Linked DNA regions of Yarrowia lipolytica. The protein of the gene in region 1 interacts with the protein of each later gene in a pairwise test. Links are inferred from orthologs where the notes say so. Each region holds a gene or a part of one and is shown in the gene's direction. Other genes may lie near its edges. The genes, in order: YALI1_F07938g and YALI1_A09553g.

Region 1 (8,994 bases):
AACTCCGTTCCGTTTGGCTTTGCCCTAAGAAAGGAAACGGCCCGGATACACGTTTATTTTCTTTGGTTTCGCAGTTCTTTTGGCACAAAGTCTGAATGGGCGGGGGGGCTTGAGAGAGGGACGAAAAAAGGAGGCTCGCCATTGTCGTGCTGCTCATTTTTGCGTGTCGGACTATCGATACTCAAACAGCAACAAAACCCTGTAAATACCGTTGGCAAAACTGGTGATTGCTTCTTCCAACCCCTTCTTTCGTGCCCTCGCTCTGTGAAACATTTCCCCCAACCATTGAGGGATCAACACTCGGTTGCTTTTGGTTTCGGTGTACTCTTGGTGCACTGTAGAGTATCGCACTTCAAGGGTCGGGTCTCCACAGGTGAACACGTACGATGGACTAGCTAGAGCTACAGTACCGAAACCTCTACAAGTGACCAAACACGTGGAGTTGCTGGCAACGATGGGAAAGTCCAAATGCGATGGTCACGTGTGATTTTCCATGCTTTTTCGGCTCAAGTTTCACTGTTTTTGGCCGTCGTTTCGCGCAGGTTGTCTACAGGTTTTCCTCCAGGTTTCGAGACTCGCCAAAGATTGCTGGAGAGACCGAAAAAGGGGAGGAGCAGCCAAAGATATGAAAAATAGAATTCAATAAGGGAGAAACAAAGACCATGATATGAAATTAACCGCAACTAGATTAGAATTAGTTTCATATATCATAGCAGACTCACATGCGACGGGGTACATCAAGGAAGACCACGAGGACTCCGCCACTGCAGTCGCTAGCCTCCAGCCAAGCCCTAACCGAAGCCTGCCGAAGCACTCCGACGTCTCCCTTGCATACAAGACCTCATGTCATGATTGTTGGTGAGGTGCAGCTTATCAGCTCGTACCGACGGGAAAAGACACGGTTGGGCGGCTCCGCCACGTGCAGATCTGATCTAAAGCTCATGTTCATGGACCTCTGTAATAATAACAATGGGACGGCGTCTCTGGCGAAGATAAAACTTTTCCAACTCATATTTGGTCGTCGCCCAACAAGTGCAACGCGGCCGACAGGGGTTTGTAGGCTTTTTCCGCCCGCTGCCGCTGAGGTAAGCAGTGGACATCGAGCCGTGAGTGAAGCACGACAAGTGAGAATATACAAGTAGCCGTCTTCTACAGGCGTCTTCTACAGGCGTCTTCTACAGGCGTCTTCTACAGGCACTAGTAGTTCTTTACATGGCATATGATTTTAGACCGTCTGCTTGATGTCTTATGTGTCAAAGAGCTCAGACATTGCCAGAGTTTAGGAGGTGCCAAGATCGTCCAATGGTGAGACTGCATTGACATTTTCAAATTGACAGCTTCCAGTGATGTGTGCTAGTGCAAATCTGGCATATTATAGCGTCATCTGGTATCGCACCCGCCTTTGGCATGCTATACCTACGTCGCGCTCGTGTATAGTAGCTGCGGTAGATGCCCACTAAAGAACAAGCCTTGCGCTAGCATCAACACTAATTCTCGGTCCCCAGAATGCCGCAGGGCTTTTCGCTGGATACGCGAGTTCCCAAAGCAGAAGGGATGGCCTGTGGGTACGTCCACCGTGAAATTATCGGAGAAAAAATGCCAGCGTCGAGCCCGTAGCGATGAGCAATGAGTATCTCAAGGATAGTTCGGTGAATACACCGTGGTTCTTAGACATGAGACATTACATTAGAAACGACCCGTGCGGGACTTATTAAACCTATGATACATGTGTGAGTGGCTCCAGGGCACCGCCATCTTACGCCACTCGACGTTTCCCAATAACTATATAAATGTCTGGTGCCTGTATACAACTGTTTGTAGAATGCTTCTTAGCTCATCCTGCACTATACTGCATATATTAATTTCGCTAAACACTCTACCCCCAAGATCCCGCAGTTGTCATGCACCCCGAATGGGCTCGGCTAGGATACGGAGATGCACAAGTCGGATGGCTGTGGGTGGAAAAAGAACTGTCGTAAATGATGAGAAGACTCAAAAGGAGCAAGTCTGAAACTTGTGTGTCTCACGGCAAAGATTCCATGGATTGATGGGCGGGGTTGATGGACGCAGCCCACGTACGTGCGTCGCTAATAAGGTACGTACTATTTTTTTTACCCTTTTTTGTATCCTTTTTTTTACCCCCAAAAAAACGCAACCCCCGTATAAGCCTATCGAGGCGCGAGCATGTATCTATATGGGAGCTTTACGGGCACAGTAGTCGTATCGCAAGAGCAAGATCCAGATGCCAAGGTCGGGTCTCGGAGCATATTGTGTTTTGCACGCGCGGCTCGTCCAAGAGTGGCCCGGTGGATCTGTCGGAATACGAGCGGGGAGATTGTTGTGTCTTACAGCCACGACGTATTCCATACGGACACCAGCGTGGTCGGGGACAGTTGAGGACATGTCTCACCCACTTTTCGAAGCTCGCGATTTAGATCTAGGGAGGAGTAGCGTATTGGCAGATGGTGGGTACGTTGGTGAGTTGGTGGAGTAGCTCCGTAGACGGATAGCAGAGCAGTAACAAACATTGGCAGTAGGCGGTCTGTCAATCCGACCGCATCCCCTATAGGTTGCATCGGCCCTCAAGGGTCGACACATACCACTCTCAATCTTGCTCCAGAGACTTCCAGTAGTTTAGATACAACAATGGCAATGAAGATACAAGTATGTACAGTAGATACGGGTACAAGAACTGATAACGAAGACAATGATTGTATGGGGTCTTGATGTATGTAGTACGAGTATGGACTACGCTGTTATTCTTTGAAGAACTTGTCTTGCTGGACAACACCATCTGCACACACCACGACAAATATATACAATATTCTATCGCTCATATTTACAATATTCTATCGCTCATATTTACAATATTCTATTTCTCATATTTCTTTCAGTTTTTTTGCATTATCAATAATCATGTAAAGTATGTGCTGTACAATACTGAAAGATAGTACATAGATACGACTATCGTACAAACTGGTAGTACTTACACTGGTAGTACAAGTACAAGTAGAAGACAATCAATATTCTCAGACTCAACAAACGACGATCATGGTTACTACAAGGTACGTACTCGCACTCGTACCACCTGTACTTAGTTATACAACCGACACTTGTACTGGCACTCGCACTCCTAACACGTCGACGCGTTTGACTCGCACGGCGGAATGTACCATGCGCCAAAACAGTAATGATTTTGTCGAAATGGGGTGATTTCTGCAAGAAAAAATATATAAATAAGCCACAATCTTCTCATTTAATCATGTGTAAAAAAACAGGACCTTTACCACGTCATTTTGAGTGCCTGTCGTTCCCTTTCGCGTGGCTCGCGTTGCTGTCAGAACTATTTCACACCGCCAAATACACTTCCTGCTTCAAGGCTGAACAACACCACATTACGCTTTCAGCGAAGAGATCTATATCTGAAGAGAACGGTGGAGATGGGGATGTATTGAACGAGTAGAAGGGGCAAAGGAGGGTGGAAAATTTACTGGACGGTAAAATTATTTGTTTGAGGGGCCTCGTACCCTAGCCCTGATCTATATTGGTCTGTTAATCTCGTCTGTTGCCACCCAACCACCCCTCCCCTTAGATTCACGTGACTCTTACGTGGCATTACCCGGCCGGCTTCTGAACAGCACACCAAAGTAAACTCCCACGTTAACATAACTATCACGGTGTGAACACGACTGAGGTGAGTAACAAGTGGACTAGGAGACGGTGAGTCCATTGACTTGAGATGAACGGAGGATGACAAGTGACACAGAATGAGTCGCATCAAAACCACACCTTCAATTGCCATCTACAGCTGCAAAGGTGTCATATATGGGGACAACCTGGTGCGACACGATTTGTGACACGGACTCAGAGAAGGACACAACGACACAGATCAAAAGGTGGCTGATCGGACACAAGCAAAATATTGATTCTACACGAACGCAATCATCACCAAAACCACTTTCGGAATTGATGGTTTTGCTATAATACCGTCATGTGCAGCGTCTGTGCCTGTGTCTGATGTCGGGTTTGATGTGCCACAAACAGGATCCCGCGATCTTTCGTCGCATCAGATGGGACGATCTTGTCCGCTCGAGATCTATGGCCTTTCACCACCGCGACTGCGTCGTCACATTTCCCGTCCGTGCCTGCAGCCACTCACCAATACCTTGACTAACCCAGATGAGCCAAGAACACCCCGAACAGGGCTCTTCGTCCAAGCGACGGGTCTACCCCCAGCAACAGTATGACTTCGCCGCGGCCCAGCCCGCCGGCTACTCGATGCCCGACCCCACCCAGCCCTACGGAGCCTCCGCCTCTCCCAGTGCTGCCATGTACGGTGGAGCTCATGCCATTCCCTCGCCCGCAGCTTTCCAGCCCCACACCGCCAACGTGCAGTCTGGCGCGTTCGCTCCTCCCCCCGGGACTCCCGGATCGGCCGTGGATCCTCCCGTGGCCCCCGGTGTGGCTGGAGGAATGGCCTACGGCGCCCCCCAGGCCGCTGGAGCCGCGTACGGCTACCAGGGTCTTACCAACCAGATGGGCAACCTCAACATTGGCGGCGGCGGCGCCTACCAAGGAGGTGCTCCACCCGGAGCGGCTGGCGGAGCTCACATGGCTGCCCCGACCCAGCTCAACCAGATCTACAACACCGATCTGCTGCAGAACTTCCCCCCTCCCATTTCCGATCTCACCCTGCCTCCCCCTCCCGTGATCTTGCCCCCCGGATCCTCGGTGACTGGCAACCCCGATCCCAACGCTGACTCGGAGTTCATGCGATGCACCCTCAACACCGTGCCTACATCGTCGTCGCTGCTCAAAAAGTCCAAGTTGCCGTTTGCATTGGTCATCCGACCCTACACTGCGCTGCGAGATGCCGACGAGAATGTCCCCACCGTGGCCGACACCACCATTGCTCGATGCCGACGATGTCGGTCCTACATCAACCCCTATGTTGTCTTTTTGGAGGGTGGCGCTCGATGGCGGTGCAACATGTGCAACCTGACCAACGATGTGCCCTCTGGCTTTGACTATGATGCCGTGGCCAACAAGCCCCGAGACCGATGGTCCCGAGCGGAGCTCAACCACTCTGTCGTTGAGTTCGTGGCTCCCGCAGAGTACATGGTGCGACCTCCTCAGCCTCTGGTCTACGTGTTCGTTCTGGATGTGTCTGTGCACTCTGTCAAGAACGGTCTGCTGGCCACCGCTGCGCGAACCATCAAGGAGTCGCTATCACGAATCCCCAACGTGGATAACCGAACCCGAGTCGGTTTCCTCGCAGTCGACTCGTCGCTGCACTACTTCGCCATTCCCCGAAAGGAGGACGTGGCGGAGGGCGAGGGCGAAGAGGGAGAGGAGAACGAGTGGCCCGAGCCCCGGATGATGGTTGTCTCCGACATTGACGACCCCTTCCTCCCCATGCCTACCGACCTGCTGGTTAATCTCTCCCAGTGCAAGGGCGGCATTGAAAAGCTGCTGGATTCTCTGCAGTCCATGTTTGCTCACACAGTCAACCCCGCCTCGGCTCTGGGATCTGCTGTCGTGGCTGCTCACAAGCTCATTGCCAACATTGGCGGTAAGATTGTGTGTCTGACCTCTACCCTCCCCAACGTTGGACAGGGCAAGCTCGAGGTTCGAGATGACAAGAAGGCTCTGGGTACCTCGCGAGAGGGCCAGATGCTCCAGACAGCCTCCACCTTCTACAAATCGTTTGCCGTGGAGTGCTCCAAGACTCAGGTGACCGTGGACATGTTCCTGTTCTCCTCTCACTACCAGGACGTTGCATCTCTCTCCAACCTGCCCCGATTCTCCGCCGGTCAGACTTACTTCTACCCTGGCTGGATTGCCTCAAACCCTGAGGACGCCAACAAATTTGCTCTGGAGTTCTCCGAGTACCTGTCTCAGGAGTTGGCTACCGAGGCCGTTCTGCGAGTGCGATCTTGCGACGGTATTCGAATGAGCGCCTTCTACGGCAACTTCTTCTCCCGATCTTCGGATCTGTGCTCTTTCTCCACTTTCCCTCGAGATCAGAGCTACGTGATTGAGGTCAATATTGAGGAGACGATTGTCAAGCCCTGGGTGACTTTCCAGGCCGCTATTCTGCACAGCACTGCCTCTGGCGAGCGACGCATCCGAGTCATCACCCGGGCCTTCCCCACCTCGGCTCTGCTGCAGGACATTTACGCGTCTGCTGACCAGATCGCTATCACCACTTACCTTGCCAACAAGGCAGTGGAGAAGGCTCTGCAAAAGGGTCCTCAGGACGCACGGGATTTGCTCATGAACCGACTCAACGAGATGTTCACCTGCTACAAGAAGGATTTGATGACCACCAACGTCGGCGCCTCCGCCCCCCTGCAGTTCTGCACCAACCTGCGAATGCTGCCTCTGCTGGTGAACGCTCTGATCAAGCACATTGGTTTCCGAAAGACCTCGCAGATCCCCTCGGATCTGCGGTCTGCGGCCCTGTGTCTCCTGTCGACCCTGCCCGACAAGTACCTGATCCAGTACATTTATCCCAACTTTTACAACCTCATCTTCATGCCCGATGAAGCTGGTCTGCCTGACGCCGAGACCGGCCAGATTGTCATGCCTCCCTGCACAAACCTCAGTGGCGAGCATCTGATCAGCCATGGTCTGTTCCTCATTGACGACGGCCAGGTCATGTTCCTGTGGGTAGGCCGGGATGCACAGCCTGCACTGTTGCAGGACGTGTTTGGCGTGTCTTCCATCACCGAGGTGCCCACAGGCAAGACAGAACTGCCCGTGCTGGACAACCAGTTCAACGAGCGAATCCGAAACATCATTTCCAAGGCTCGAGAAAAGACAGATGCCATCACCTACCAGCATCTGTACGTGGTGCGGGAGGACGGCGAGCCTGCTCTGCGACTGTGGGCCACCACCCATCTGGTCGAGGACCGAGTGGAGCAGAGCGGCGTCACTTACCATCAGTTCCTCACCTCCATTCGGGAGAAGCTGAACTCTTAGATGTAAAATGTATTAATAACGAATGGCTGTTTGATCACCTGGCACAGGTTGAGGATTTGTACGAATGATGCCAGTCAGTCCATGAACTGGAATGGTTAATGGTACGTACATGTAGAAGCATGGCGTACATTGTAATACATCATAATAATACGAGACAGAGTATATGCACAACCTTAAAAAAATCGAAGTCTTGAGCTCGGTGAAAACTGAATCATCTTACAATATAAGGCACACACAACATGTCTAAAATTTCACGAAAAGAGTTATTTGGAGGCGGGAGCGACAGCGAGGGCGAAGTTGGAAACTCGTCGTATGCAGGCTACGAGAATCTGTTTGCGTTCGAGGAGGTTGAGGTCGAGAATGATGACACTGATTCGGACCAGGAGATGACGGTGGTTGAGGTCTCAGAAGCTGTTGAGGGAGACGATGGCTCGGAGTCTGAGGAGGCTCCCGAGTTCACATTCAATCTGTTTTCTGGCGCGCCCGAAACGGTTGTTGTCAAGGACGTGAAGCCTGTGTTTGAGGGGTTTGTGGATGAGGGCACTGCCAGTATTGGTCGGGCCAAGGAGAAGTTCAACGACGAGTATGCTGCTGCTGCGCGCAACAAGTTTCGTCCCTTGGCGTACTACTTTACGTTTGCAGAGCCCGAGCCCAAGAAGCAGGATCTGGTAGCCCAGTTTCGAGATATGGCTGTGGACGCAGATTCCGTCCTCAAGGTGGGCGGGTACCATCGGTATGATGTTCCTAGCAAGGTGCTGGACGTAAGCGCTCATAATGCCGAAGTGGAGAAGAGTGAGCGACGGGCCCGACCGGGCAAGAAGCGACGGCAGAAGATGCGCGAGGGCAAGGTGCACAAGAGTGACGACTTTGGCACTCGAGAGTACGGAGCCAGCCGGCAGTATGGAGGAGGTGTGTTCGAGTATGGAGGGTCTGGTATTAATATGTTTCCTTTAGGTCAGAGAGGCGGTTTCAGAGGTGGTCGGGGAGGTGGCCGAGGCCGGGGAGGTGTCAGAGGACGAGGTGGAAGAGGTAGAGGTCGGGGAAACTAAAGAGGGCCTGGAGGGGGAGCAGAAAGGGAGAACAGAAGTAGGAACATTAGGAAAGGATAAGGAAGGACACATTCGGACTACAAGTATATATTTATAAGGGGATGATATAATGAACATGAAATCACGTTACTCGTTGTGCACCTCACCATGGTTAGGCCTAAGAGGATGGATGCTACGAGAGGTATTTTACTGTAGGTAGCAGTGGAACATGCTCACGACACTTTTGGTATGTACGGGTGTTTGTCTCCTACAGTATATGTTGGTTAATGCAATATATTGTCAGCTGTGCGGAGACAGGCAACTCTTGTTGACTTATTGAGGGAAGGCTAGACCTCAATTGGTACCATCGACTGTGCCATTCATGACCTATAGTCGTTCTTTTCTTGGTTGTTGTCAGCTCACGACCCTTCCGTCGTTCGCTTCCTACTTTAGAGGCGCCAGCGCACCCTTCATCACCTTAGCCTCCATTCCATCTACCGTCAATCCTCCGCCACCTCTACTGACAGCCTCTGCAACCACAGTTTCCAATCTCGCATGGTTCTGTTGCAGACTCTTGAGTCCCGGAGTGGCGCGGGTGATTCTCTCCTTGATTCTCAGGTTTAGAGCGGAAGCCACATCTCGCCAGAATTTTGAGTTGAGGTTAGAATCAAGCAGATCCGCGATTCGAGGCAGCTCAGAGACAGGTGTAGCAGACTTGTCGTCTCCTTCTGCAGGTACCACGGCACGTGACAGCAGAGTGCCCAATGTCGACACTGCTCGAGAGTGCTGACTAATTGTATGCATGGCGTGTTCCAGCGACTCGTCTGAGTTGACTGAGCGCGCCAGAAGAGAAATTGACTGTGAAATGTAGTTGGACAGCGCTGATTGGACGGCCGACGCAAGTTGACGTTCGTCTAAGATGGCTAGACCGACAATAGCTGAAGAGATGGCGGTTCTTTCGGCCGAAGTCGACACTGAAGAC
Region 2 (7,204 bases), on another chromosome or scaffold:
CGTTTATGACTTGAGCATATATGGACATAATGTAGCTCTTTCGCCGAAGATGATCTTACTGTGGGTACAACATGTACTGTAAGTAACATCCAAGCGTCCAATCCTTTTTTGTACTTGTAATGTTATCAATCCATAAGTTCACAACGATTAAGTTCAGAAAAACCTCCGCATCCTGACTAATACTTCTTCTAATAAGAAGCAAATAGCAAGTACGTAGCTTTATTGGTTCCTTTCCTTGCTGATGCCTCCTATTGCGGCCAATGAGTCGACTTCGTCCATCTCCTACAGCATACGTTGTCTTAGATGTATGTATGTAGCCTCCGCCACCCGTAACGTGTACTTGTAGCAAGAAGCTACCCATTTCTATCCGTCCTCTATACTACAAGTACTGTGTGTACTGTATGTACTGTTCTTTATGTACTCATATGTACATACAGTACTTATAGAAGTGTCATTAATCTAAGAGACCACTCTCGTACAAGTACTACTACAATACGTCGTAAAAAATGGGGTGGATACAACGGCAATCATCAGTGAAACAACCTTTAAGACAGATTTCCACATCATGATTGGTACACGCTGTTGAGGTTCGGGCAGCTACAAGTGGGCTAACATGGCAGACTAAATATGCCGTACCAGTAGCAGGTGGCTCGTTGGGACTCATTAAAACCATCTTGGCACTTCAAATATGCACAGGAATCCTGTAGCTAACTACTGTACAGTAGTGACTCGGGTGACTCTGTACGGAGCTATTTATGAATTGTGTGACTCGGATGACTCGGATGACTCGTCTCGTGCATTTTCGGCCGCCTGGGGTTACAAAGACCCACAAATGGTCCGTCCACACCTATGGAGTTGTGATTGCAGACTCTGACTCTTACTGTCTTGAGTCCTTACTACTTTGCAAGTACTCGTACTACTAATTAGCTACTTGTAGCTTCTTGTAGCAGCCGCAAGAACATACTTTTGAGAGCCACTTGATTGGAGTCAAGGGACCCACTCAGTGTGCACCGCGAGATAGCAATCGGCGCACTGACGGAGGCAGAAGGTGACACCGAGGGGTAGTCGTAAGTTTCATCACGTTGGGCATTAGATTCATATTGAACTTAGGTTACACGATTTCCGGGGATTCCTTTGGTTTCTTTCCGGGGGATTCTTTGTGGTCAACAGTTCGTGCCTAAATTAGACTTTTCATAGAGTCAATTGAAGACTCAAGAGTTTAGAGCGGAGAGAGCCAGAGGCACAAAAGACAACGCTCAGAAGACCTCTGGGGTGTAAACAGGCCGTAAGGCACTTATCAGATTGATTTAGGGTACTGTTCTACGTTTTTTTACCTGTCTCTGAGCTCTCGAGTCGATATCTATGGGGCTACCCTATTTTGACATGACTCCTCCAACGCACCAAATCTGCACACAAATGACTCAACATGATTGGGGCGACTCAGTAGGGCGACTCGCTGCGAGTCAGACAGTGCAGGAGATAACATTGAGAAGGAGAGCGTCGATAAGACGTACAATGCTCGACTCGAAAAAGACACAGCAGTGACCCAAATTCAACAGGGGAAATGTTGAATTGAAGTTTGGCATTAATTGAGCTATTTCGAGGCCCTCTGACATATATTGAACGCTTCTTTCTACTATCATGCGCAAACCCAATCAATCTTGTCGTTGACTTCTGGATGAGGGGGATCTAGACTGTAAGGCTAGAGCTTAATGTCTACCAACAACCGTCCAAGACTCTAGCCGCTATTAGGGCACCAGTCACCATTCACTACTGTGCTTCAATTGGATTGTTTCCAAACCGTGCGTGCCATGGTGTCGGTTCTAAACCAGTACCCTGTTAGATAAACAGCGTACAAGCCATTGTTTAGTCCAAGCCATAGCCAGTGACTTTGCTTAACTCGACTCATTTTGAACTTTAGCGCAACTCTACTGCATCCCTTTTGGTGGCCTGCCGTAAATCACATACTGTCGGCTGCGCTGTAAAAGTATTTAAACAGGGCTGGATCCCCTTGTTACGTCCACACACCCTTCCCCTTATATCACCTACAATTAACATGGCCCCACCTCCTGCTGTCGTTGCCCACCCCCTCTCCTCTCAGGCTACTGGTCTTGATATGGTCCATGAGTTCAACCAGAAGCTCACTAAGTCTGATGAGCACACTTGGGAGTCTTTCAAGTTCGCCCCCATCCGTGAGTCCACTGTCTCTCGAGCTATGACTCGACGATACTTTGAGGATCTTGACAAGTACGCTGAGTCTGATGTTGTTATCATTGGAGCTGGCTCCTGTGGTCTCTCTGCTGCCTATGTTCTTGCCAAGAGCCGACCCGACCTCAAGATTGCCATCGTTGAGGCTGGTGTTGCTCCCGGAGGAGGTGCTTGGCTTGGAGGACAGCTCTTCTCTGCCATGGTTATGCGAAAGCCTGCCGAGCAGTTCCTTGAAGAGATCGGTGTCCCTTACGAAGATGAGGGAGACTACGTCGTTGTTAAGCACGCTGCCCTTTTCACCTCTACTCTCATGAGCCAGGTGCTCAAGTTCCCCAATGTTAAGCTCTTCAACGCTACTGCCGTTGAGGACCTCATTACCCGAAAGGATGCCCAGGGCAACCTTCGAATTGCAGGTGTCGTCACCAACTGGACCCTAGTTTCCATGCACCATGATGACCAGTCCTGTATGGACCCCAACACCATCAATGCTCCTATCATCATCTCCACCACTGGTCATGACGGCCCATTCGGTGCCTTCTCTGTCAAGCGACTTGTCTCCATGAACGCCATTGAGAAGCTAGGTGGCATGCGAGGTCTTGACATGGGCCTTGCTGAGGATGCTATTGTTAAGCGAACCCGAGAGATCGTCCCCGGCCTGGTTGTCGGTGGTATGGAGCTGTCTGAGGTTGACGGTGCCAACCGAATGGGTCCCACTTTCGGTGCTATGGCCCTCAGTGGAGTCAAGGCTGCTGAGACTGTTCTTGAGGTGTTTGATACTCGAAAGAAGCAGAACCAGGAGTAATCTATAACGAAGAATAAATTGATTTATGATATATATATATATATATTACCCTGTATCGAATCTTGCTCGCAGACACTGTAGAATGTATAAGAAGCAGCAGCATACTAATTACTTGTACTTGTAACCAGTCAGACCGCATCTCGGTGGCAAATACCATTGCAAAATATTTTGCACGTCATGTACAGTTATTTTCTATGGCTCTGTATATACCGCCTATCCCATGTTCATAGTGTTTCCACTACCCTTGGGGTTCGCCTCCACAAACTCATCCCATTCCCGTGCCTTCATTGTTTCCCTGTCTGCGGCTTCGTCATCCATGTCATTGTCGCTCTTTTCAGTAGAAGGAATTTCTCCTCCTCCTTCGATGATTCCTCCTCGTCGTTTCTCTTCCTCCAGATAATCCTCAACAGACATGGTGGGGAGATATTGACCTGTTCCACGCACCTTGCTCTGTAGCTGCTGACGAGTGCTCACCAATTTAAACGGTCTGTTTATTTTGCCCATTGAATCGAGAATAGGTCGACCTGCCTCAGTGAGAGGATTCTTCTCAAGCTTGTCAGTGTAGCCTGTCACGTCCTCTATCTGTCTCTCTCGCCCATCCTGATCCTGTTCAGCCTGCGCACGTCTCATCAGATCGATGGGAGGCTCAGGCCTGCTGGGTGCTCTTGCTAGCATTTGAACCTCCATGCTGAGCATCTCAAGTGTATTCAAGGATTTCAGAGTATAGAGCTTCAGCTCCTCCTTTCTCAAGTCTCTGACTTCATCTTCGTCGACATTCGGCGCATCTGGATCTTTCTGCTTGGCCTCAGTTTTCTGAAGCAAATTCAGTTTTCCTTCCAGTTCCTTCTCGGCCTTGTGTTTGGCAATCTTCTCAGCTCGGAAAACGGCGGCGTCAGTGGGTCGCAGTTGATCTGAGAGCTCCTTCACCTTGGATGCGACGTTTTCGATGGTTAGCTGGCCCGCCAGAAATGACTCCAGACGAGAGGCATGTGTTTTAGGTAGCAGGCCGTAATGGTCGAGCGATTTGAGAAAGTCATTGTAACTCTTGACTTGGTGGTACACCAGATTTTTGCGATCTTCGGCACCTTGTACTCGTACCCGTTCCAGCGCCAGAGCCTTGTGATAAGGGATTGTCAGGTAAACGATTTCATTTGTTTTTAGGTCCTCCCAGGACTCGTTGTCTGAGAAGATGCCCAAAGACGAGATCATTTTAGAGCATTGATCCAGTGATTCTAGCACCTCCTTGACTTGCAATTGGTACTCTTCGGAGACAAATGGGTGACTGGATCGTTTCAAGGTATCGATTAGATCCAATGAGTGTTGGAATTCCTCCTTCAGTGTTCGAGACATTATGTGATAATGGTGAACCGGTTGTCTTGTCCGCCTTGATATTTCCTGAGACTATGCATGATTGTGTAAGGGCGAGGCTATCCGTGGGTTCAATTCCTGAGTATGTACATTTTTCTATTTTTCAGTAGGACCACATGAACTCAAAGAAGAAAAAAACATGCTTATGTCATACGGATCTTTAGTGGCATGCACCAAAGATACCATGCAAGGGGGGGCGGTGTTGAGACCCTTTGAGGGGCAATCGATACCCTGCCACAACAAATCACATGTACTTGTTGCTGATGGTCGGAGCTCGACCGTTTCTGTGAGCACTCCTCCTAATTATAACTAACCAGGTGCGGGCATCCTGAGCTAAGGGTGAGCATGCTGCTTGTGTTGATATCATTGTTTGGATGCAAGTTCTGTACAATGGAGAGGAGCCACATGGGCCGGTATCGGTGTCCTGCAAATATTCCGTGGGGTCACGTGATGGCCACTTGATGCCACGTTTCACTAATTCCGTATTTGTGCATAGGCTCTCTCTAATGACGTCATTCAACTTGTGCATGTAGATCAGGGAGACTGCACAATGTACTCGTATGTACTTGTATGACTCCTCTGAACATCCACATCCAGTTTATCACCTGGAATGGGGACTTTGCACTCTTCCAGGGCTCTATCTCGTTAAGTAGGTTTCTGTTTTGACTGAAAGTGAACCAGTAACATCGAAGTTTCAGAAGTGGGTGGATATAACTCACGCATCTCACCTACGAATACTCTACAGTAAGGTTATTTGTACAGAGGAGTGAAAGATAGGAAGACCGTATATAATAATACGCCTCTTGTTTGAAAAAGGAGCAAAGACAGGGCGTGCGAGAATGACCAACTGTATCCACCCTGTGGTGGTGGATTTACGTTTATGCTATTGCAATTGAGTGTACAAGTTCCTGTATATGATGCGCGGTTGTATTGCTCTATCATTTGTGAACACAGATCCAGCAGTAGGCCAAAAAATACAGTACAAGTACTGTACTGGCACAGTATAGACTCTACATTGTGGTTAAAAAATGACCCTCCACTTGTACCGACAGTATGTACTGTACTCACACTTGTAACATTGCTAATCACATGACTTTCCAAAGTTCTACGTTGTTCCATGAACCCAATCCTGGAAGTTGGTTAGTGAGTGAAATAGTGGCCGCGGTTGTACCAATAACAAGGTTTGCTTTGCACCATGGAACTGAGCAGGTTCACGCGTTCAATTGGATACCAATAACTAACAGAAATGTCTACGTTTATAATCCCTCGGTTCGTTGAGGTGTGCCCAACAAGTGCTAGAAACAACAGATGCAACCCCCCCACAAAGCCCTAACTGTGTCAGTGACGCTTCGGGAATAAAATGGCACGTTCATGATTACTGTACCTATGGTTTACTGTTAAGAACACTCCAGTCCGTGTCATCTTGTCTGTTTACCACGTTGCACCTCTCACTTCCTACACGTCCCAAACGTCTTCATGTCAACCCAAAAACAACGTGCACCTCCAACGTCAGATTTCGTCATAGGGTTCCCTTTCCAACAACGCAGGTAACGTTAATCAGGATAAACTGTGTGCGGTCTATAGCGCTGTGTAACCAAAACGACACATATAAAAGAGCAACTCCCGCCCACCCTCACTGCTCAATTGACTCTAAACAGAAACAAAAAAATGTCTACTGTCTCCACTACCGATTTCAAGCACCCTCAGGTCTACCTGAACAACGACAAGAACTCCTTTGCATACACCTCTTCTCGGGATCGATGGCCTCACATCCTCACTGGTGTCATTGACGATGTTCACAAGACCATTGCCGAGACCCCCGAGGGAGAGAAGCGAGATGAGCTCAAGAAGGTCCTCGAGCAAATCACCGCTCTCAAGCACGATGTTGAGCACGACAAGCCCCTGAAGGAGCTTCCCAACGTTGCCGACGACATCCCCGTTTACAACCGTCTGCTTAAGGAGAACCCTACTTCCTGGCTTCAGGGCGGATGGGTCTTTGTTGAGTGCTACCTCTACCGAGAGCTCCAGGTCTACTTTGATCAGACCAAGAACTGGAAGACTTACGACATCTTCAGCAGTCAGAAGGAGGATGCTTTCAAGGCCTCTTCTGCTGGTGTCTCCGAGCTCGCTACGCGGTACAAGGCCCTTGCTGAGCAGCTTAACGGCGTCTCTGACGAGGCCACCCTCAAGGAGCTCTTCAAGGAGTTCTCTGATATCTCTCTCTGGGGTAACGCTACTGATCTTTCTCTGCTGACAACCATGTCTCTTGAGGAAATCAAGAACCTCCAGGGAGCTGATGTCCGAAAGAAGAACGAGGAGAAGATTCTCGTCAACCACATTGAGAAGGCTTGGGACGTTCTGTACGCTGACTCTAAGCAGAACGATGGCTCTCGAGTAGACATTATTCTCGATAACGCCGGCTTTGAGCTTTATGCCGACCTGTCTCTTGTCCTCTTCCTGCTTGACTCGAAGCTTGCCAAGAACGTCATTCTCCACCCTAAGAATATCCCCTGGTTCGTTTCTGATGTTCTTCCCATCGATCTTGTGAAGACCATCAACTACCTCAAGGACTCCTCCTTCTTCCCCGAAGGCCGAGAGCAGATTGACTACTTTGTCTCTAAGCTTCAGGGATACCTTGATGATGGCTCTCTGTCTGTCAGAACCTCAGCCTTCTGGACCACCCCCCACTTCTTCTGGGATATCTATCCTCAGGGTATCGATGGTGGCTCCCAGGTCTGGGAGGACATCAAGGATTCCGCTCTGGTTATCCTCAAGGGTGATCTCAACTACCGAAAGCTCACTTGTGATGCTGAGTGGCCTCGAGAC

What was found.
Region 2: the proteins of YALI1_F07938g (region 1) and YALI1_A09553g interact in a two-hybrid assay, tested with the Schizosaccharomyces pombe proteins (2 studies listed by BioGRID). The link is inferred for Yarrowia lipolytica from reciprocal best matches to the Schizosaccharomyces pombe genes sec24 and thi2.

The regions. Positions count from the first base shown.
Region 1 is NC_090775.1:789,022-798,015, reverse strand, and holds YALI1_F07938g (uncharacterized protein), read left to right. Parts: upstream 1-4,179; coding exon 4,180-6,984; downstream 6,985-8,994. Other genes in the region: YALI1_F07980g (uncharacterized protein), read left to right, coding at 1-399; YALI1_F07907g (uncharacterized protein), read left to right, coding at 7,224-8,033; YALI1_F07884g (uncharacterized protein), read right to left, coding at 8,457-8,994. UniProt on the Schizosaccharomyces pombe protein: Component of the coat protein complex II (COPII) which promotes the formation of transport vesicles from the endoplasmic reticulum (ER).
Region 2 is NC_090770.1:953,255-960,458, forward strand, and holds YALI1_A09553g (uncharacterized protein), read left to right. Parts: upstream 1-2,056; coding exon 2,057-3,010; downstream 3,011-7,204. Other genes in the region: YALI1_A09576g (uncharacterized protein), read right to left, coding at 3,224-4,360; YALI1_A09593g (uncharacterized protein), read left to right, coding at 6,047-7,204. UniProt on the Schizosaccharomyces pombe protein: Involved in biosynthesis of the thiamine precursor thiazole. Catalyzes the conversion of NAD and glycine to adenosine diphosphate 5-(2-hydroxyethyl)-4-methylthiazole-2-carboxylic acid (ADT), an adenylated thiazole intermediate.